Lytechinus pictus: one gene and its partner. The protein of the gene in region 1 purifies or fractionates together with the protein of each later gene. This does not show direct contact. Links are inferred from orthologs where the notes say so. Each region holds a gene or a part of one and is shown on either strand. Other genes may lie near its edges.

What was found. The genes of interacting proteins can lie anywhere in the genome.
Region 2: the proteins of peroxisomal biogenesis factor 19-like (region 1) and peroxisomal membrane protein 2-like purify together in Homo sapiens (affinity purification with mass spectrometry; 3 studies listed by BioGRID and IntAct, counting the BioPlex papers as one, with this or other methods). This does not show direct contact. The link is inferred for Lytechinus pictus from reciprocal best matches to the Homo sapiens genes PEX19 and PXMP2.

What each region holds. Positions count from the first base shown.
Region 1 is NC_087252.1:8,080,402-8,091,278, forward strand, and holds the start of peroxisomal biogenesis factor 19-like, read left to right. Parts: upstream 1-6,661; 5' UTR 6,662-6,685; coding exon 6,686-6,821; intron 6,822-10,877. Other genes in the region: uncharacterized protein LOC129266355, read left to right, coding at 162-656. UniProt on the Homo sapiens protein: Necessary for early peroxisomal biogenesis. Acts both as a cytosolic chaperone and as an import receptor for peroxisomal membrane proteins (PMPs).
Region 2 is NC_087246.1:22,769,703-22,781,384, forward strand, and holds the start of peroxisomal membrane protein 2-like, read right to left. Parts: upstream 5,413-11,682; 5' UTR 5,351-5,412; coding exon 5,250-5,350; intron 394-5,249; coding exon 295-393; intron 1-294. UniProt on the Homo sapiens protein: Seems to be involved in pore-forming activity and may contribute to the unspecific permeability of the peroxisomal membrane.

The DNA of each region.
Region 1 (10,877 bases):
ATTATGAAGTTTTCTTCCAGTCATATTTCATCTACTTAGTGTATAGGCCCTATTTGGAATACACTGTATATATCCTGCAGATACTCATTTTAAAATACTGTTTAGTTCAATTACTCAAATTCTAACTACCACTTTGTATATTTTCAAATCTCCGTTTTCAGGTGGATTATCGCCCGATTGAAGACAAGTCCGCGTACCTTCAACCCAACCGTCGGCCTCACACCCAAGGTGGCCCCCGCTCCGCCAAGTTCTACGACCAGACAACGAACAATCGCTTCTTCCGCAACTGGGGCGCAAAACCCCGCATACGCTACGGCGACTTCCACGAAGCGAAGATATACGTCAAACCCCGAGGGAAAATGGAAGTGGAGAGCTGGAATAGTCAGACGTACAAGGATATTCCGCTTGATGAACCGACGCCAAGCTTCAAACCTCACGATGAGCCTGTACAGAGAATGGGAAAACAGGACTTTACGACCATTCATAAGGCGACTTACAAAGGACAACGTCCGCAGATGTGCAAGGCGCGGTTGTATATTCTTCAACAGGAAATGAAACGGCGAAAGGCATTAAAAGAGAGACAAGTGAAAGAAGGAGCAAATGGAAATACTGGATTACAAGCTGTTGGAAGAACTGCTCTAGCCGGTACTGTTTGAGAACGCGCTGGGCGTGACTTCGGTCAGTGACTTTCGTAACAAAATGGATTCGCATGTTGGCGAACGTTTATATGCGACTATATAGTCGTGCGGTGTTTCGGCGATCTGTATAGCACAGTACACGCTGAATGGACGTGGGAAAGATAAGCATGATCATTGTTCGAGAAGCGTTTCACGAAGTGTCACATCACTCAATCTTCTCGGATGAATTTGCTCTCGGCCAATCAGATGCAATGATTTCGGTAGCTTATCACAAAAGTCAGAGAAAATCACCGACGAGAGACTCTGTGCAGCCCTGCAATTTGCAGTTATTACCAGGCTTTCTTTAGTTTGGGTAATCATGATTAAAGTCTAAATGGCTACTTGAGTTGATGAATGAAATAAATCATGATAAATAAGTAATAATAATACAGCAATATGATATGGATCGGTTCTTCCCAGCAAAAATATGATTTTGCAACAAATTCAAATGAACTTTTATGAATATAAATTGTTACTTTCACACACAATATTTTAAGGTCTGATTTTATATCATCATATTGATATTCGTAATTGCAATAATCAATCATTTGACATTAGTTCTGCAAATGATGAATGTTTAAACAAATGCCTTTTTTTTTCTAAAAATTTTCATACAGGCCTACAACTAAATATTGTTTTATGATTTGATAAATGAAAGCAAATTGCCAAAGGGATACATTAGTGTATATTTTCGATGCACCACGTACAGTCTCTGACGAAATTCGTCCATTGTCGGATAATTTTCGGATCATCGGTTTTCCGGTTTAGATATCCGTCCAGTGTAGTATACTCGTGTTCATACAGATTATATTTTTAGATTTTATATTCTGTGGTGAAAATTGTGTGTTGTTGGCAATGCATGCAAATCTGTGTTTTAGTTCTTTTTGCCATGATGGCACTTTTTGGAGCAAGATAAACCTGATGATCGTATCAATATTTTCTTATTTGGTATCTCAATATCTAGTATGTCTCCATTCGAATGGTTCAAGGTTTCACAAGAATACTTTATTATCATACTACGACTGCTTTCTTGTAGGTCTAATTTTCATGCTATTGTCTTACTAGATTCACCACTGTGATCATCATATCATGTACGATCGTGATGTTTCCCGAGAAAAAATCATATCATTAGGAAAGTTCATTACTTTTCCATAATAGTTTGTTTAATTTACATGAAATCGAGGGTGAATGCGAATTCGACATACAAGACCATGTTCGAAGAAAATGCCAAAATTTTGAAATCCGAAGCATATTTTCTTGTTTCATTATAAAGCGATAATCTTTTAAGCTAAATCATCGTTCATATTTCTTTTATTTATACACAGAGATACTTGTAGATAGCATATGGGGTTTGCAGGGTATATAACTTTATAAAAAAACTGTGGAAAATCACTTTCCTTTTTTGATCATTCATCTACATGTATTTATCAACATTGTTTCCTATTTTCCAACTCTTTGCTCATTTCCTACGCAGATAAAGTTCATCGATCCCAATGCATGGACCGCGGAACCTGGGGGCTCGGAAAGGGGAGCCTCCCGTCCCTCATCCTTTTTTTTTCTCAATAAACGTGTAGAAAAAAACTTTAAAATGAACATCTGGTTTAGTTTTTGTATGATAAGCCAAAATTTCCCAAACCGTTCACTCTTAAAACAGATCAGTCAAATTGACTAGACCAGTAGTCAGCTGGGAGCAACTGATATGGCAATCACTGATAGTCACATATCTGACATATATTCTAGTCAGAAATAACTCTATTTTAGTAAAATAGTCAAATATGACTAGAATAACAGTTGCTCCCAGCTGACCCTATTAACCAGTCATTTTTTACTGATTTGTTTTTAGAGTGTTCCGCGGCCCCTGGATCGTACATTTTTTTAAATTCATACTCTAGATGGCATTTTTTTATATTCTAATAATGGGCTGTTATCGAACATAAAACATCGCATAACGACTGTGCTGTTATAGGTGAGAAATGGAATAGGGGAATAATAAGATACTGTTATAATTGGGTAATGTCTATTCTTTTCACCTAAACAAACAGTTTTGATTTGAATTTCTTTCCGAAGCATTGAACCCTTCATGAAATATGATTTTTCTTATTTGCATATTGTTTAAATTTTCATGGATGTCTGGCCTATGCTTGTCCATTTTTTGTTCCTGCTGTTTTGATTACGCAGCAAAGAAGTCTCCTCTATTATTACGCGAGTTGCCTTTAATCTATAGAATGAAATATGATATATAATGTAAATATTTGATCTAGTATCATCTCAATAATTGATTTCATCTCAAAGAGTCGATATTTTGATTGATTTTATCTGTTTTTATGCTTAATGTGGCCATTGTTCTGAGTGTGCGTAAAATGTTAATAAACTTTAATGCACTTTACTTTACGGAGTATACCCGCTCTTTTATTTGAGTCTATTTACCGGCAAAGCTATTTTAAAGAATCTATGTTGATGAGTATGGGCGTTTCGATCAGAGGTTGTGTGTGCGTACGTGGAGGGGGGGGGGTATTGGATGGGGAATAATACCTGGTGAGTGTTTCATAAAGCTGTTCGTAAGTTAAGAGCGACTTTAAGAGCGACTGGTGAACCTTTCTTACGCGCTAAATAATCACTAATGAACATAATGGTGAACCGTCACTTACCACAAGAAAGGATCACCAGTCGTTCTTAAAGTCGCTCTTAACTTACGAACAGCTTTATGAAACGGCCTCCTGAAGTGTTAGCATCTCTGAAATGAAAGGGATATTATAAACTCAAAAAAGTTTGGAAATCTGAGTTTGGCCATTAATTTCTCCCAACTCCCAATTTTACACAATGCATATTTGATATCATTCAAAATATCATTTAATTCTCTTTAAAATTATACCCTACATGATATGATTATGGTTCACATGGAGGTGCAGTGCCTTGAAATGAGGGGCAGGGTCAAAATTCAAAAGTTGCAAAATGACACAATATTGAAAGTCACTGTTCTTTTTTTCGTGGTGATGAGTGGGTTTCTGATCGGTTTCTTTTATTTTCATGCACCTTAACATTAAAGGACAAGTCCATCCCAATAAAAATTTGGTTTGAATAAAAGGAGAAAAATCCAACAAACGCAACACTGAAAATTTCATCAAAATCGGTTGTAAAATAAGAAAGTTATGACATTTCAAAGTTTTGCTGAATTTCACAAAACAGTTATATGCACATCCTGGTCGGTATGCAAATGAGCAGACAGATGACGTCACCCACTCACTATTTCTTTTGTATTTTATTATATGAAATATGAAAAATTCGAATTTTCTCCTCATTGTCATGTGGAACAAACTTTTGTTCCTCCCTGAACATGTGCAATTACCATTATTTTAACAGTTTGTGGTTGAATCAAGTTGGTCCCAATTGTCAAATCTGTAAAAATTGAAATATTGTATAATTCAAACAATAAAAAACAAAAGAAATAGTGAGTGAGTGACATCATCGACTCTCTCATTTGCATATCAATGAGTTGTGCATATAACTGTTTTGTGAAAAATAAGCAAAATTTAAAAATGTCATAACTTTCTTATTTTACATCCGATTTTGATGAAATTTTCAGTGTTATGTTCGTTTGATTTTTCTCTATCCATTCAAATCAACAAATTTTTGGGGTGGACTTGACCTTTAACATGGAATCAAACACACCTCTGCACAAGCAAACACATAACTAACAAACAAACATGCATGTGTATTTCAAACCATGTTATCTCACAGATCTCCATGTTAATGTTGCTGTTAAGGTGCATGAAAACAAAAGAAACCGCTGAGAAACTCACTCATCACCAAGAAAAAAAAAGAACAGTGACTTTCAATATTGTGTCACTTTGCAACTTTTGAATTGTGACCTTGTCCCACATTTCAAGGCACTGCACCTCCATGTGGACCATAATCATATCATGTAGGGTATCAATTTAAAGAGAATTAAATGATTCATTGGTATCAATTACACATTGATATTCACTAAAAACGAGGAAGGATTGTCGATCAAAGTCAGATTAAAACTTTTTTTGAGGGGTTTATAATTCATGACCGAGAACTTTTCCAAACTCCTTTGCTTTCTGTTTTATGAGATTTTTTTTCCTTCTCTTTTATTACTTTTTTTAACACAAAGTATATTGATTTTATAAAAGTGTTAAATTGATCAAAAACCTCCACATTCTTCGATGCATAGGCCTATCCTCCCCGGTGAAGTCCATACATACTCAAGGGCAGTGTCGGGATAGGGGGAGAGTATATGATAAGGTGCCGCGACCCCCTCCCTCTCAACAATGAAATAACAGGAATATGCCCTATACTCCCGTTTCCCTTCCATTCTTTTGTCGTATCCCCATCCCCTTTTAAAATAATTTTTATTATATTTTTCTCAAACTCATACTGCGTCAATGGCACAGTGAGCCCGATATTTTGTATGGGCACAGTTGGGACAAAAGAAAATTGTATTTGATAAAAAAATGAGTGGTAGCGGAGCAAGCGAGAAAAATTAAAGAATGGAAATATGTGATAGATTATGACTAATATATATGTCACTATTTTCTTTCTTGTATCCTTCTTTTCTTTCCTCATTCTTGTTTGTTTATGTTTGGAGGAGATAAATCCCCAAATTAAGTAGGCCTATGTCGTAAACTTTTGAAAGCCTTATTACCTAAAAAAAATTAATAGTGATTGACTTGAAGAAAAAGTCCATCCCAGCAACAACAAAAAAGGAAAAACTCCAATAAAAAAAAAATCATCAAAATCAGATGCAAAATAAGAAAAATATGACATTTTAAAGTTTCGCTTAATTTCACAAAACGGTTATATGCACATTCTGGTCGGTATGTAAATGAGGGGACTGATGACATTTTCACTCACTATTTCGTTTGTATTATCATTATGAAATACAATATATTTTAACTTTCCCCTCATTATAATGTAATACAAAGTTTCATTCCTCCCTGAATATGTAAATTACCGTTGTTTTAACATTTTCTGCAGTCCATTTATCACTGTCAAATCTGAAAAACTGGAATATTGAATAATTAAAACAGTAAACGAAATAGTGAGTGAGGGAGGGACATCATCGGTTCTCTCATTTGCATATCACATATTTGTGCATATAACTGTTTTGTGAAAAACGAGCAAAACGTTAACTATCAGATTTCATTTTACATTCGATTTTAATGAAATTTTCAGAGTTATATGCTTGTTTGAATTGATTCAAATAAAAAAAAAATTGAAATATTTTTTTAGGGGAACTTGACCTTTGAGAGTTAAGACTGATTTTCTTGAAACGATTGGCCAATAGAAATCTATATATTTTACTATTTTATGTCCATCACAATAGATCGGATCGAATGAAATAATTTGAAACCCCCTTTATAGCAGTGCAAATAACGAGCTGTCACTGCAATGAGCACGACACTGACATCAATTTTGATTGCCTAAAAGGTATAGGCCTAATCAATTAAAGATATATGCGAATTATACAAAATTATGTCGATGCAAAGAAATCATGAGGTGTATATGACATATCATATTCAATATATGGAGAGAGAAAAATAATAAAGGCCAACAGCTGCATGAGCAGATCGATCTAGTGCCAGTTCAATTATAACGAAACAATTTTATTAAACATCACCTAAATGATAAACTATACTCTACATGACTAATGTTATACATGTAAAAAAGTTAGAACAAAAAGCTAAAACTTAGTTCTACTCCCTCGTAATTCCACTGCATCTTCGGATTGACCCCCCCCCCCAAAAAAAAAAAATTATCGATGGAAATGAACTGCTATTGCACATCAGCAGGTGCGGCAATTTTTGTGAGGTTTTTGGTCCATTTAGGGGGAGAAAATCCACCCTAGTGTTTTGTGTGCAAATTTTGAAGCCCCCCCCCCCCCACCCGGGGGATCGCAGTCCACCATGCAGATCACCCCTTTTTGCCTTTTTTAATTTTGGCAATGTTTTGCAAGCCCGCCCTCATCGCTCGTGCTTATCTTAAAAATGGCAGCAGCTGATAGTGAGAAAGTGGAAGGAACGATGACCAGTCCGGCTGAAGAAAAACCCTCAAAGGAATCATTAAGTCAGGTGGTGGACAGTGAAAGTAAAGATGACGTAGATCTCGATCAGTTATTGGACAGTAAGAGCATTCTCGATTCTCACATGACCATAAAACCCAACGTTGTTGTAAGGGGCGTTGAAAATTTCGGTCCCACATGCTTGTTTTTGCGTATGCACCAAGTCTAACTAATTTGTCAAAGTTTTTGTTAATGACAATGTTATTCTGCCGAGTTTGCGTGATGTGGTGGAAACATTTGAAGTCTTCCTCCAATTAAAGGTTGGAAATTGATGGGTGCAAGTACTGTTTGCACTTGTAATAAAAAAATATAGGCCTAGGCGGTAGAAAATATAGGCCTAGGCGGTAGGCCCTATTTATAAAATATTTTTTTGTAGGCCTAGGTCTATTTCACCCAAGGCCAAGCAAGGGTTCATTACATGCCGCCGCGCACAGAAAAATCAAGCCATAGAAGTCGTGTGTTGGGGACCCAAGAAGTGAGATCCCAGCACGCGCGACCCACTAGTTAGAAATCCACTGCCAAACGCGGTTCGTGGTGCGAGCGAGGTTAGTATAGGGTAACGCGCCCGGTATTCGGTCACCTCCCAGAATTCGGTCAGACAGCTGTTTCAACAGCTGTTGAAAAAAAAAAAATAATGCATGAGCCAGAAAACTTTGGCATATCATGCAAGAAACCAGCACTTCCAGCCCACCTCAAAAAAAATGTCGATTAAGACAAGCACACAGCCAAAAACTAACCTTAAAATTGACCGCGTCGGGGGGGTTTTGTTTACTTCCGGGTTTCTTAGCTATTGAGTTAAGCGGACGCAACCTCATGTAAACTCTTGTGACGTCATGACTTTGTGTGTAGGTGTAGTGAATTTGGTACGAGTGTGAAGGGGAAGACTTGTGTGTTCACCCAGTCGCAGCGAATATGCAACTAGCAGTGAAACTGATGAGTAGCGAGGGCTTATACATTGCCCCTATAGTGAGAGGGCGCTCGACCAGAATTCGGTCGCGCAACATTGAGTGTTTTGCCGGTGTGTTTGTGAGGAGGGAAGAGCGTGCAGATACGTTGCTCCTCGCAAGTGAAACACTTATCTTAATCCATTTTTTGTTCTGTTAGGCCTAAATAAGTTTAGAATATATCTAAAATTATTTTTCATGAATAAAAATCTTAAATCAAAGATGTTTATTGCCTATGAAAATGCAATTTGAGCAGGTGAATGACGATGGTGACGAAGTTGGTAAATTTGACCAAGGCTCATTTTGATTGCCTTTGCGTGATTGAGTTGAAGTCTACATCTTTCTCAAATGATAGGGCAAATGATATGCCTACGTTAGGCCTAAATAAGTTAAGAATATACCTACAATTATTTTTATTAATAAAAATCTTAGAACAAAGATGTTTATTGCCTGTGAAAATGCAATATGAGCGGGTGAATGACGATGGTGACGAAGTTGGCGAATTTGACCAGGGCTCATTTTGATATTGCCTTTAACGTGATTGAGATTAAGTCTTAGTGATTTCCTTTTTGGCCTCAATAGTCAAACTCAACCTCAATAGTTAAACCGTGTTATTTTTTTAATGTTATCATAGTTATTTTCAATATTATTATTAATTTGAATAATACATCCGGTTCCAGGGATGATGGACCCCCAAGAAAAAAAAAATTAAAAAGGCTCTTCCACGAGTGTTATTTTAAAAGACGTCATTGCTAGATCAAAGGCTGGAAAATTGCCCCTCAATTTTGCCCGTCCCTCACATATCAGAGGTCTGCGGCTAATTTTTTTGGTCGTTTTAATTTAAAACAAGGGGCCTTTTAATATTGTCATCATTGCTAATAACATCAATCGAAAGTGGATGACAATGTTGACGAATTCGGTTAGAATTATCAGTTACTGTTGTGAATTCAATTGGAATTCAGTTGCCCGAGTTAGGCCTAAAGTGATTTATAGAATTAATAAAATGTTCCTTTCGTCTAATATTAATTTTAAATTCTTTGAGTTCATACTTTCAATGACTTTTCAAACAGATATCAAAATCTTTACTAACAGTATATCAAACAGCAGGTTGACAACTCGGTATTGGATGGTAGACAAGATGTCAAAAAGGAGGGCGTCTTAGGTATATGGGATACCTAAATCAACGCATAGGGATAAAGTAGGTCTACATCTTTTTATTTACTTAACCATACTCTGAACTTAAACTATTATATCAATCGGTAATTTCCATCATGCTGTGTAATTCAAATGTTCTAAAATTTTTCCTTACCAGTTTCTCCACAGATCGATGGGAAGACACCAGTAAAATCGCGGCATGGTTCCAGCCCTTACCTGTCCGTTGCTATGAAAGCAAATTTGGCGGCATTGGAACAGCGGATGGCAAAATTCGGGGTGAAGAGACTAGAGTTTCAGCAGATGATTCAAAATTAATTGTCGGTCTCGTCGTTATTTTGTCTTTCTTTCCCATTTAATTTTTCTCGTTCATTTTTGGGGGATTTAAAGGACCATTGATGTAGTAAAGGAAATGACAATAGCGAGGGCAGTAGTTTTGTGTTTTAATATGGAACCAGTAAATTATGATATTGAAGGAAGTTGCAATAAAACAATGAGCATAATTATGAAAAGGATAGTGTAAGAATAATAGATTAAGGCCATTATGATGAAATTAATTTATGTACATTATCTTCATTCAAATTATTTCATCAAGAAGGCGTACCACACTTGTATTCAAGAAAGATTTAGCATTGAGTGAATTAAAGATAGTCTTCAATGACCTCTTATATCACAATGTTCCCTAAAACTTTGTTTGATTTATCAAAGGAATGATATGAAATCCAAATTTCCTCTTCGCTTTCCCTATATCGGAGGCCGACGTAGATCTTATAAGTATCATTGAGCCATTAATTTTATTGTAAAAAATAAACTAATATAAAATCCAAGAAATTACAAAGAAAATATATATTCTACGCAGTTGTTACGCCCTGGTACTAATTATTTTGCAGTACAATAATTATTTTTACATTCTATTGTTTGTATTCATATCATTCTTAATTTTATATAAATTTAATGTATTGTACGTAGATGGCCAAACAGTAAATTTTGTTACAGAGTATTTGATTTATTGATTTCTTTCCATTTATGAAAGACAAGAGTATGAAACTTATTTGCCATTTGTATTAATTCTACATTCACCTTGCCATTCATTTCATAGACTGAAAAAAATAAACAATATCTTGACTGCAAAGACGTGAAGTTTCAATAACATGTTGCCCATTTGACTCTTTGTCTGTAATGAAATTGACTGAAACGATGATGCTGCGCCATTTTCTGGTTGATTCCGTTTTGGATTGTTGTATTAAAAATTCTGAGTGATTGAAAATTTATATAATCTTAACGAGAGGGGATTGATATGGTCAGCAGAGCAGAGGATTAATATTCATTGGGGACCTCTATTGTTGCATCCACCCCCTAAAAAATACAAAAGATAATCCTCTTCTCCGATGCCCATAGTTTGAATGAGCTAGTGTTGATCTACTATTTGACATAGGTTGTGTGGCTGATTATCTTTTGGTGATTGACTGGAGCGACTAAAAACAAAAACCAAGTTATTTGATAGATTTTCATGAATGACTATCAGGACTATCGGGATGGCAGATTAAAAATATGATTTTAGAAAATTATGAACATTAAGTAAAATCTCCAAAATAATAGATTCTACTCAGTAGCGGATCCAGGGATGAGCCCCCTTAATTTGACACTTTTATCATGTAAAAAGAAACGGGAATTACGGGTACACGGACCTTGCTCCCCGCTTGGATTCCCCACTGTACTGAATTACCAAATAAGCAAAATAATAATAATAATAATAAACAGACCAAAATAATTAAAGACTCCCTCAGACAAAAACAGAACCCCAAACAAGCGAGCATGCATCTGAAAATGAAAACGGCAAACGGGTATGAAACCATGCAAGTTGGAATGTTACCAAAACAAAACACAAAAACAACATAAACATAACATCGAAAAGCAAAACAAGTGATTGAAAGTAGGAAATTGAAATTCATAAACAAAATATAAGAACACAAAAACCCCAAACAAACGAGCATGCATCCGGGGCATGCATAGGAATATGAG
Region 2 (11,682 bases), on another chromosome or scaffold:
TATGGCAAACTATCAATATATATCTCATTCATTAAAAATATTTTCTTTTCCAGTTCATTTTTCCAAACTAATTACATTGTTTATTCATGTTTTTTTTTTCTAATTCAATTTTTAGATATGGTGAATGTTTTTATTCTTGCAGATATATCGGCTCGCCATACATTTCCATGTTCGGGCAGAAGGCCTGCATAGTTGAACTTTTTCTGTTATGTACAATCACAGTGCATATAGTCTAACATTCAGACTATTAAGAAGCATGTTTCCATTGAACATTGACTTCATGGATTTTCTTACCCAAGAACTGCAAATGCTGCTGTTGACCTGACTGTGTAAGGTGCTGAAGGATCCACTATCCTCTGTGCAATGACATCTCCAATACCAGCAATTAAACCACTGAAAGGAAAGAAAAATAAAGCCAAATGGATTCTTGAATTTTGATGTATTTCTTAATATATTATTAAACAAGGCGAAACAAATCTGTATACTTGACTGACCTTATGGTAGGAATTGTAGAGGCGTCAGTCCAAATATGAGGATCATCCCAGAAAATAAGGAAATAATGTTCTATAAAAACCAAGACTGTCCTTATTTATGAGGACAGGTTTTTTTTTCACTTCCACCTGCGGGGTCACATAGAAGGCAATTGAGAGTGCTAAAAATAGATTTTGTGACCTTAAATCTACCAAAGTTCACTGTCTATTTTTATGACTTGCGGCTATCTTTCTACAATTATGAAACCCTGATATGTTTAAATTGATAAGCACACTCGATTGGCGTCGGCACTTGACAAGTGAATGAAGGCTAGATTTTTATGTGGAGAAATCTTCATAACGAAGACAATCCCTGTAAATAGGGACGTTCCTCATATTCAGACTGGAGGCTCTCAGCTAAAGATTATAATTTGGCAGCATTTGGATAATCTAGTCTGTTTTCCAATTCTTCCCTAAGCCTAGGCTCGGATATCACTTATCAGTTAGGACCGAGGCCAGGGCCTCACTCCTCACCGATATCCGAGCCTGCTACAGTGCTAGGCCGGGCCTAGATCTAGGTTAATTCACTAATTTCTCTCAAATTGTTTTTCCTTTCTCTTCTCTCAACTCGTTTCCCCCCTTTTTTCCCCCAATAGCTATACCCAAACGTCATCAGTGACTGGTCAACCAGTCCCAATTGTTGGAAATGACTGGGGGGGGGGGGGGGGCACTTCCATTGACGAGTTGATACCAGGCGCGACCTAAGAAACGTGTAAAAAGGATATCTTTTTCAAGATTGGGCACGTTACGTAGGTAAGGGTGTCAAAAACACTTAAATACTGAAAAAAAGGGTATATATTTCGCTAGGAAAACTACATGTTTACGGTTGTATTTGCGAGGGTATAAAAAAAGACTGAAATGCTGTTTATAAGGGATGTACTTTTTGCCCCAACACTACGTCTGTTTTGAGCGAGGTTTGGGAGGTGGTACTAAACCCAAAGTAAAGGTAAAGCCGATGCCTGTGATCACGTCCATGACACAACAATTTATCGCTGTACTTGTTTAGGGCCAGGGTCAATTCAGTTCAGGGAATACTCATCAAGGGTACCGTTTAAGTTTTGTTTCCAAATTCCAACACTTGTTAAGGGTAGGGTTTTACACACCAAAACTTCTTAAGGGGTGCATTTTCAGAATATGGAAAATACTCTTTTTTTTTCAATTCAATTTATTTTCATTCTTCAACATAATACAATATATACAAGATAAATTAATTCAATTTAAATAAAAGCATGAACAAAATCTAACATTGAATAAATGATATACATATTCAATAAGTGATTCAAATATAAATTAACATGCATGTCAAATTTATATCAATATAATTAAATCAATATAATTATATATCATGAGAAGAATGGAGGGGTCCACTGAAAAGCAAAGCTTGTAAAATGTGGACCCCTCAAAAAGTTAGGATAGAATGAATATTGAAATATACAGTACGTAAAGGAATACATGAAGATAACGAAAAGGGCAAAAAAAAATTCTTATATACAGGATTGTGAAATTCAGAGACAAAAGACAATAACACGACACAACACAACACAGGTACATGAGGGTGGACAGTAATACGATGACCACTGCCTAGAATATAAGAAAAATAGAGATAGGGAGAGGGATGCAAGGCTAATCTGCTGCATATATATATTATGGCTATACATACATGCACATTATGTACATGACCATATATACGCATACACATACATACACATATATATATATATACATATACACGCATTCACACATATACATACACACACATACATACATACGGACATACACATATACACGCATGTACACATATACAATATAAAAAGTAGAATATAATAATGTATAGACAAGCTATAACTTTTGTATTTTAAATCTTATGTCTAACTGGAAAAAAATAAGGCTTCATGTTCTGTATAAACATAGATAATAGACTAGCAATAAAAGATACAAAATTTTAGTTTAGAATAATAAATATATTAATATAATTCATTAAGATTTTAGGAGCATAAATTTTAGTTTGTTTTTAAAGGACAGTAAAGAACGGGCGTCTTTAATCTCATCGTCAAGGGAATTCCAAAATCTTGGACCTGTATATAACTACCGTAAGTATTTTGTGCTAGAAGCGTTCTAAGAAGGGGCAAGTGAAATTCATTTGACTGCCTGGTGGGATAGTTATGGAGGGATTGGTTTCGGGGAAACATGGAATCAAATATGCGTGGCAACGAATTATTTTTATATTTATACATGAATTGACCTAATTGAAACAAATATAAATTTTTTATTTTCATGATTTTATGTTTCAGAAACAATGGATCTGTATGAGAACGAACTGGTGCATTCCATATAATTCGGAGTGTTTTCTTTTGTAAAATTAATATTTTGTCCAATAAAGAATTGTGGGTATTACCCCATGCTAATATTCCATAATTAAGGTAAGGTACAATCAAAGATGAGTATAATATGAGTAATGTGACGGAAAGAAAATAGTGTTTTAACTTATTAATTACACCAATATTACGAGATAATATTTTACTTATTTAGGGTGCTTTTTGAAACTCCATGGTTGCGCCTGGTATCCACTTGTCAATGGAAGTGCTCCCCCCGCCCCCCGGGACTATTTTCTTTCACCCAAATCAGGGGCATTTATTTTCATCAAAAATCGATGTCACAAACAAAACTCAGATATACATTTTGCAAAATAACTGGCAAAATATACATTTCTTTCTTTCCCCTTTTCCTTAGCCCCAATAATGTCTAATCTAATTTTCAATTCCTTCACAAAGGTAAACCATAATATCTTTTCTTTTTCTTATGTACGTTTCTTAAAATTATCAATTTATAATACTCTAAAGGCCAAAGTACTATAGTAATAATATCATCTGTGATTTTTTCCAAGTTTGGAAACTTAGTTTTCTCGCTAATTTATGATTGTATCTTCAAAATTACCAATAAAAAACCAAATCAGAATTTTTTTCAGAAGTCTTCTCTTTATCGCAGTTATGGTGATATCGGACTTTGCAATTGTTTCAGGAAGTTGTGAGAGAGATCCCAGAGCACATGAGAGCAAATCGCTCGCCAATCTTGTGTATTTTTTTCGCTTTTCAGCAGCCATAAAATAGTAAATATCAAGAAAATTGATGCGGCAATCAAAAAGGGAAGCGGGCGCGGACGAAAAACATCACTTTTTTATATTTTTTAAGCCAATTTTTGAAAATAGTGAATAGAAAAATATTTCATACTGCAGCCAAAAAAGATGCGCGCGTGAGGACGATCAACTACTTTCTTTTTTTACTTGGCCTAAAATAACAACTGGACTAGCGCCAGCAATAACATCAACATATCCAAATTTAATTCTTAATTTCATGGAAGACTAACATGGCCTTATCCTGAAATAAGTCACCTCTCTTCTCGTGTGTGTCAGTGTGTGTGCGCTCGTTATATACAAAGTCGATGGGAGATGAAAGAAGTCACCGCCGCTGAAAAAATGGACAGTGAATTGAGTGGTGACTTAAACCAGGATAATGCCACTCGCTCACTGCAACAATCCTGCCTGTAGGGAATCTACAGGTAGGACTATGGTATGCCAATGCTGTAGAGAGCACACACTTTAAAAAATCATTAAAATATCACTTTTGTGACCAAAATTACTAATTTCCATAAAGTTGCCATTCATTTTTCATTTGTAACTTGGGAATAATTTTTGTATTCACCAGAGCGTTCAAAAACTTGAATTTTGGGCATATTTTTGTGTACGCCCTCTATTGGTGGAAAGTAATATGGCAAGAAAATTTTCATTTTTCAATCTCTATTTTTAATTAAGAAAAAAATAATTAAAAAAATCAAATTTACTTATTAGCCAAGTTATAAGATGAAAAGCTGTAATGGAAACTGATAGTGTAAAAAAATCAAGCATTTGTCCCAAAGATAAAGAGAAAATAGCCAAACATTGCCAACCTTATTTTGCCACACATGGAGATATCGAGATGTAACTGAGTCTCTGAGAACAAGGTTATAACTTATATCATATTCATAACCTCGTTCATTGAATAAGTGGATAATGCCGACTAAGTGCGACTAACAGTTAGCCTGTTAAAAGTTAGACTTCCCTCTCAAAATTGACAAAAACACAAAACTGACAGACGCGTGTCGTCTGCATAATCACTATTGTCATTCATTCATGTGAGGAGTCTGAGGACAGGAGCCGAATTCATTCAGCCGATAGGCGATACTAAAATAATGTTTAGGCCTAACTATTTTCTGTCATCACATCATCACATCACATCACTATCAGGTACGGAAATACGTCCTCCATTTTCAACGCACCAAAATGCTTGACTCGCCGATTTTGTTATTTCTTCCGATTCTTTCGGAAAGAGTTCCATATATGCACCCCCCACTAAAATTGAAAATAAAAACATTTCCATTCTTTCTGCTAAAGTTTCTACGACCAAGATAAACAACATTGGCATATTGCCCCCCCCCCCCCCCCCGACATGACTGATAACTTCTCCTGTACAGAAGCCAATAACAGCGATTTAACTCACGTGCAATACAGATACAAAATAACGGAAATGTGATTTCAGCTATTGATTCGCGAGCATAGCTATTCGCACGCGCCGCCAATGATCATGTCAGGCCGTGACTCGAGTCGAGACGCAGCTCGTTTTCTTTTCGAGTTTTAGACTAACCCAAATATCAATTTTGTAAAAAGACTGGTTTAAACTGACGAACCTTGTAAGCGATTTTGTAATGATAGGCTTCTCCTTTAAAAATCTCAAATAAGCTCGAAAGAGCATTTGAAGTGATCCCGGTCCCTCTTTCTTGGTTTCCATCTCGGCGAGATAATTTCGGCGAGCATTAATATTTTAGTCTCTTTTTTCTTAGAGCGCGGCTCTAATTGGGTTATTCCCATGCATTGGCCATAATTAAGAAAAGAACGTCAGCTATGATTGGTCGATTTTATTGGAAAAAGTCAAAGATTTATGGGGGAGTTGAGTATCAGCTGTCTGCTAGAAGGGGAGATAATAAAGTTAGATCTATAATAACATTAATTTTTACAGTAACAGAGAGCAATAATGCAGAAAAATAATTATTTTTTTTTTGAAGTAGTAATGGAACCAGAGAGATATATATCCCGGTATAGAGATTCCCTTTTGCACTTTGTATATATTCCCCTTTGTAAAATGAACTTTACCAATAAGGGAGTATTGACTGTCAACATGAAGCCGGAAATTTTCGATTTTCGGTGGTAATTGCTAATTTTAATCATTTTTCGATTATTTCGCATCTCCGGTCTTGGACTTGATACCCTTCAAATTCAATATGGACGTTGATATATTCAATTGCTACATGAAAGCAAGTTTTTTAGGTAAGTTTACGCCAAAAATAATTTCACCCCCTTTCAAGTTTTCACCCCGCACGTCCGTGGACGTCATCCGCAGCCCTCGCTCAGCTCCGGCCCAGCCGCATCGTCCCGTTGGCCTTGCCCTTGCCTTGGCTGGTCGAAGTCCACTCAAGCCAAGGGTTCAGACATTAGATGCCGCTGTGCATGGGAAAATCAAGGCACGACGCATGCAACTCTCTATATGACTAGTAAATAGTATAAGCTGATCCTTCTTCTCGATACTCGATAGACAGCTGCTACGTACTATAGCGCATGGCTGGCAGCCGTCTGTTTCGAGGAGTTTTTTAACATTTTTATTTTTTTCAATTTCTCCTTGTGCACATTCACATTGTCATAGCCTGGACTCTGGAGGCTTCTGGGGAGTAAAAGTCATCTATAACATGTACGTAGGCTTACTCCCATGAAGCCTGGCACGGCAAGCCATAGCCATTGGCCCACACGAAGGAGGGTATTTGCCTTGGACTCTTGGAGACAACAATGTTGCTCCAAAATACTTGATTTGTTTAACTTGCTTATCACACAATTTTGTAAATGGAAAAGAAGTTCATTTCCCCCCATTAGGCACTCATAACGTTTTTTTTACAAGAATAATTATACAAATATTATATTAAGAAAAATCATGTAAGAAGATGAGCAGATACCCACAGTCACAGATGATCTTGTCGCCATATTTCCGTCTTTGTTCGTAGCCTAGTTACAAGACGCGTATACGAGAGGGCGACGATATCATGAGCAGTGCCAATTTTAAAAAAATAAAAAATTCAATCGGCCGATGAAAAGCGTGAATTGTAAAATACTTGAATTAGCCAATAAATACACGGGTTTCTTTCGTAGCTATATTTTGATTGAGCCAAAAAGAAACTGATTATTTATGATGATAGTTTGAGCTTTCTTCCTCTGTTTTCTTTCTATCTTTCTATCCTTTATTTCTTTGTTTCTTCCCTCTAATCTTTCAATTTTTTACTGTCTTTCTTTTATAATTTTCCCTATTTTCTTTGCCTTTCGTTCTTTTATTCTTTCTGTCCTTTAAAGAAATATTTTTCTCTATTTCTTTTTCGCTTTCTTTTTTTTATTTTTATTTCTTTCTTTAATTCTTGAGTCCATCCATCCTATATTTTTCTCTTCTTTCTTTCTTTCTTTCCTTCATTCATTATTACTTTCTTTGTTTCCTTCTTCCTTCCATCCATCCTTTCTTTACCCTTTCTTATTTTTCATTTCTTCCTTTCAGCCTTTTCTCTTTTTCTTTTAGTTTCATTCCTTCCTTTCTTCTTTCCGTCTTTTGTTCTTTCTTTTTTCCCTTCGTTCCATCTATCCTTTTACATTTTCTTTCTTTCTTTCTTTCTTTGTCTTTTGGTCTTCCTTTTATCTATTCTTTTACCTTTTCTTTCTTTTTTTATATTGCTTGCTTGCTTCCTTCCTTCATTTCTTTCCTTCATTCTTGTTTCCTTCTATCTATCATTTTACCTTTTCTTTATTTCTTCCTTTCTTCCTTCTTTCAATCCTTTGTTCCTTCCTTTCTTTCTTTCTTTTTCTTTTTTCTTTTTTCCTTCTTTCCATCTCTCCTTTTTTCATTGCTTCTTTCCTTCTTTCTTTCTTTCATTACTTTCTGTCTTTGTTCTTTCTTTCTTTATTGCTTGCTTCATTTCTTTCCTTTCTTTCTTTCTTTCTTTCTTTCATTCCTTTCTTTCTTTCTTATTTTTTTTTCTTTCCTTCCTTCCTTTCCTTCTTTCTTTCTTTAGTTCTTTCTTTTTTCCTTCCTTCACAGCTATCATTTCTTTACCTTTTCTTTTTTCTTCCTTCCTTTCTTTTATTCTTTGTTTCTTTCTGTCTTGCTTTCTTTTTTTTACTTTCATTCCTTCATTTTTTTTTTGGGGGGGGGGTAACAAGAAAGGACAGCAAAATAAACTCGCGCCTTTTTTTAATGTTTTCTTAATTTTTTGGGATCAGTAGATTTTAGGTTCGGACCAGTAAAAAATGGAAAAACTGGGTATCTTCTGGTCCGACATGAATAGGTTGGACCAGTAGAAAAAAAAGGGTTAGTGTGGAGCCCTGTAATATTGATACTATCGGTTAAAAGAGCAGATGAGACGTAGCCTTAGTCACAAAATAGCATAGATGTACATCTGTATATTTTTCAAAAAGGAAAATTATGACAACATTGCAAATATGATGAATTGGGAAATACATCTTTTCAATATAAAAGCACCTAAATTATGCATCATACATGTACATGCATAGACCATGAAGACTGGAGCATACAATTGCTGAGAAAATGAAATTATGAATTATCCATGTTATGACTAAAAAATCGCATGTGGACGTTGAGATGGGTACCTCCAATTTTAATAGTTTACGAAAGTAAACCATAACGATTTTCTTTGTAAAATGATGATAATTATACCGTCCTTTATGATTCCAAACATCATAGAAATATAGTTTAACCAAAACATATGATTTGACAAATTCTATGCATAAATTATAGATAGAATTTATCCAAATGTTAATAGTGGTCTAAAAACGACAAATACGAGTCCAGTTATGGATGGCCTGACGTGGTAGAATATTTATCGATTAAATTATTTTACTATTTCAAAATGAATGGTTTTGTGGCGTTTTACCAACAGTTTTTAGTTTCTTTGTATTACAATTATCATTGAATGCATTATCTGACTTGTTTTGTGATGTAATTTTAACCTCTATGATTGATTACGTAAGATTATAATTGTTCATGTCATAGTCTACCCATGTGATGCCACTACGTCATTAAGAAAGAAGTTATGACAGGTTCGGAGATGTCATAAATATTTAGTCAGGTTGTTGTACCCGATCTCGGCAAAGAGGGCTTCGTGAATAGTCAAGAAGTTAGACTTATGACGGTGTTGAGAAACGGGCCCCTGTTCCTCATATTTTCTTGCTCTTGACGTCACTGCCTGTCCCACGGCAACTACAATAATTTTTGGCCTAAAAAGTGCACGCTATTTATATTCATAGACACGACAAGGGAAAAGACTAGACATCTTAACTATTTTACACGCAAAGCATTGCGCGAAGTCCGTGAAGTGTCCAATCTTTTCATTGCATAGACTTTGGTAGATGTATTATTGACAAACTAACAAAGCTTGTACTGCTGGTTTTTTGTCAACGTAGATCTAGATTCTAGACTCTACATAGATCTAGATTTTTTCTATTTAGATTCTATTTTTAAATTAGTCATCGTTTTAAATTATATTTGCAAAAAAGTGTAATCATCGACAATAATGATCTTAAATTACATGTATGTTTTAGAAGGTATTTCATTCATTGGTGCCCATATTTTATCAAGTAATCATAAGAATTGTGCATTCATAGAATTTAGACACACCGAGGAGCTGAATAAAAATTCAAGGCTGTGAAATTTATTAGCGCCACCATCGGGCTTCCTTTTATTTCCGTAGGAGAGACATGCGAAGTCACTTTCCAGGCCGAGGTAAGCAAATTTGCTCTTTTTTGTATGATTTTTATTTTTTAAATAAAAAAAATAAATACGATTGTATGGCTACTCACTGGAAAGAGCCCCGGTGAGTAGCGAGAAGGAGTTTCAGCAAATATTACATGTACTTCTGTAATGAAGCGATGTTTACGACTAGAATAGAAACCCACGGGCCAAACACGGTTCAGTGTACGAGGTTAGTACTTAGTAGGCCTATATAGCATACTAACTTGTACTAGTGTGAGTGGTCGAAATCTAGGCCTAGACCAAAAAAGGTTCAGTCTGTAAATCATGTACATTGGTTGTTCTGCTGAGTACTGTAATGTACGTTATGCGTTATCATTGCCAATAATAATCTTAAAATGTTTTTGAAGGTATTTCATTCATTTGTGCCCATATTTAATCAAGTAGAATTGCGCATTCAAAGAATTTAGTTTTATAGACACAGTTATAAAATTACCGAGGAGCTGAATCAAGGTTGTGAATTTTATTAGCGCCACCATAGGATAGTCTGCTGTGCAAACCCTTCACTCGAGTAAAGGGTCTGAATTGCAGCCTACTCATACCTTGTGTACTGGGCGTTGTGGCGTGCGCCTGTAATACAAGCTATGTGGGGAAGTTACAAATTGATGCAGAGGTTCGAGCCCTGGTCACGTCTTTCAGATGGTGACGTTAAAGGTTGGTCCCAGACGTAAATAATCATATCTGATTGATACACGTCTGACAAAAGTCAAATACACACACACACACTGAAGGCCCTGAAACAGCAAGTTTTGCTAGTCTTTGCGTGGAGACACACTTGTTGATCAAAGTTTCAATCAGGGTCTGTGCCTGCAGACTACTCACCATGTGGTTATCTCTTCAAATTACCTGGGCATGTTGTTTTGAAACATTATCCAGTCAATCAGAATTCTGGATTTCATGCTACTCTGAAATTTCGTCTTGTATCTTATTTTTGCTGGATCCCGACCCATTTCCAAGGTGCAACATTTTAAGAGTGACATTGTAAGAAAACTACAGAGAATGAGCTTTCCGATGATATAGATATTTATTGTTGCTCAAAATAAAAGGTTTTGCACAATGTGAGGGGGGAAAACAGAGGAAGAAAATTCCACTTTGAGACATCTTTTCAGGCCTAAAATTCATCAAAATATTTCATTCAAAATAAATTACCATTTTAAAAGAGTAACATTTACTCTTAACAATGATGCAAATGCAATAATATTTGATTTCACCTGAGGATAAAGTGTTTAAATCTTTTGAGAAAGAAATGTTCACAATTCATGAGATTTTGCAGGGAGGTGAATTCAGCTACGAGAGGTTTAGAGGAAACCTTGCTTATTTGCCCTGCAGAGCCCTATTCGCTCATCAGCATAGGGCTCTGCAGTCTGGCTGAATTTAAAAAATGAATGAATCAATTGTAGGCCTATTTTGTATTGATTTATAAATTTATGTATTGTTAATATGAATTACTTATTTGACTGGTATCTTGCAGGGAATAATTTTGCTGTACAGATTTGAATCGCATTTATGGTTATGAGAGAAAAGCTCTCAACTATGTACAGTCCTATGTAAAAATATGCTAGATACAAAAGACTTTATGCATAGCAGTCTTTAAAAATGTGGAGCAAATTGCGATGCGATACCAGGAAAATTATTCCCTGCCTTGATGTATTATTCATCTGTGTTTGTCTGTCTTTTTTTTGCGAAAAAATATGACTTTAAAAGAACCTTAATACCGATAGGACTGTGATTCTGTGCAGCTTGATCGGTTCATTCGTGCACTGGTAGTCTCTGCGCCACGCAATTTTGAAAAGTGCAAGGCTCTTTTTGAAATTTTTCCTGGTGACACATGTAAAACCTCTGTATGTCAAAAATGTTTTAAACCTCTGAGGTAATTTTATATTGTGTTCCTTACATTTATAATTATGTATATTACATGTATGTCTTGAAATATTTTTGACTTTCTTATAATATTTATTGTATTACATACATTATGTTTATTGTATTACATACATTTCCATAGACTAAACAGAAATCAATAAATCAAATCAAACTTTTTGTAACAATCTTGTACAAAAGTGACTTTTTAAATCTTTCTGAACATCTTTCTTTATATTTGCTTTCCCCTTGAAATGTCATGAGTTCTTATTTTATTGTTTTATGTTATTTCATCTCCCATACGGTACATGTATGTGTCAATTCCATACCTTTTTTCTATCTTGTTTGTCTTTATAACTTTCTTGATCACTATTGCCCATATCTCCTTATTTTTTTCAAAACAGGAAATA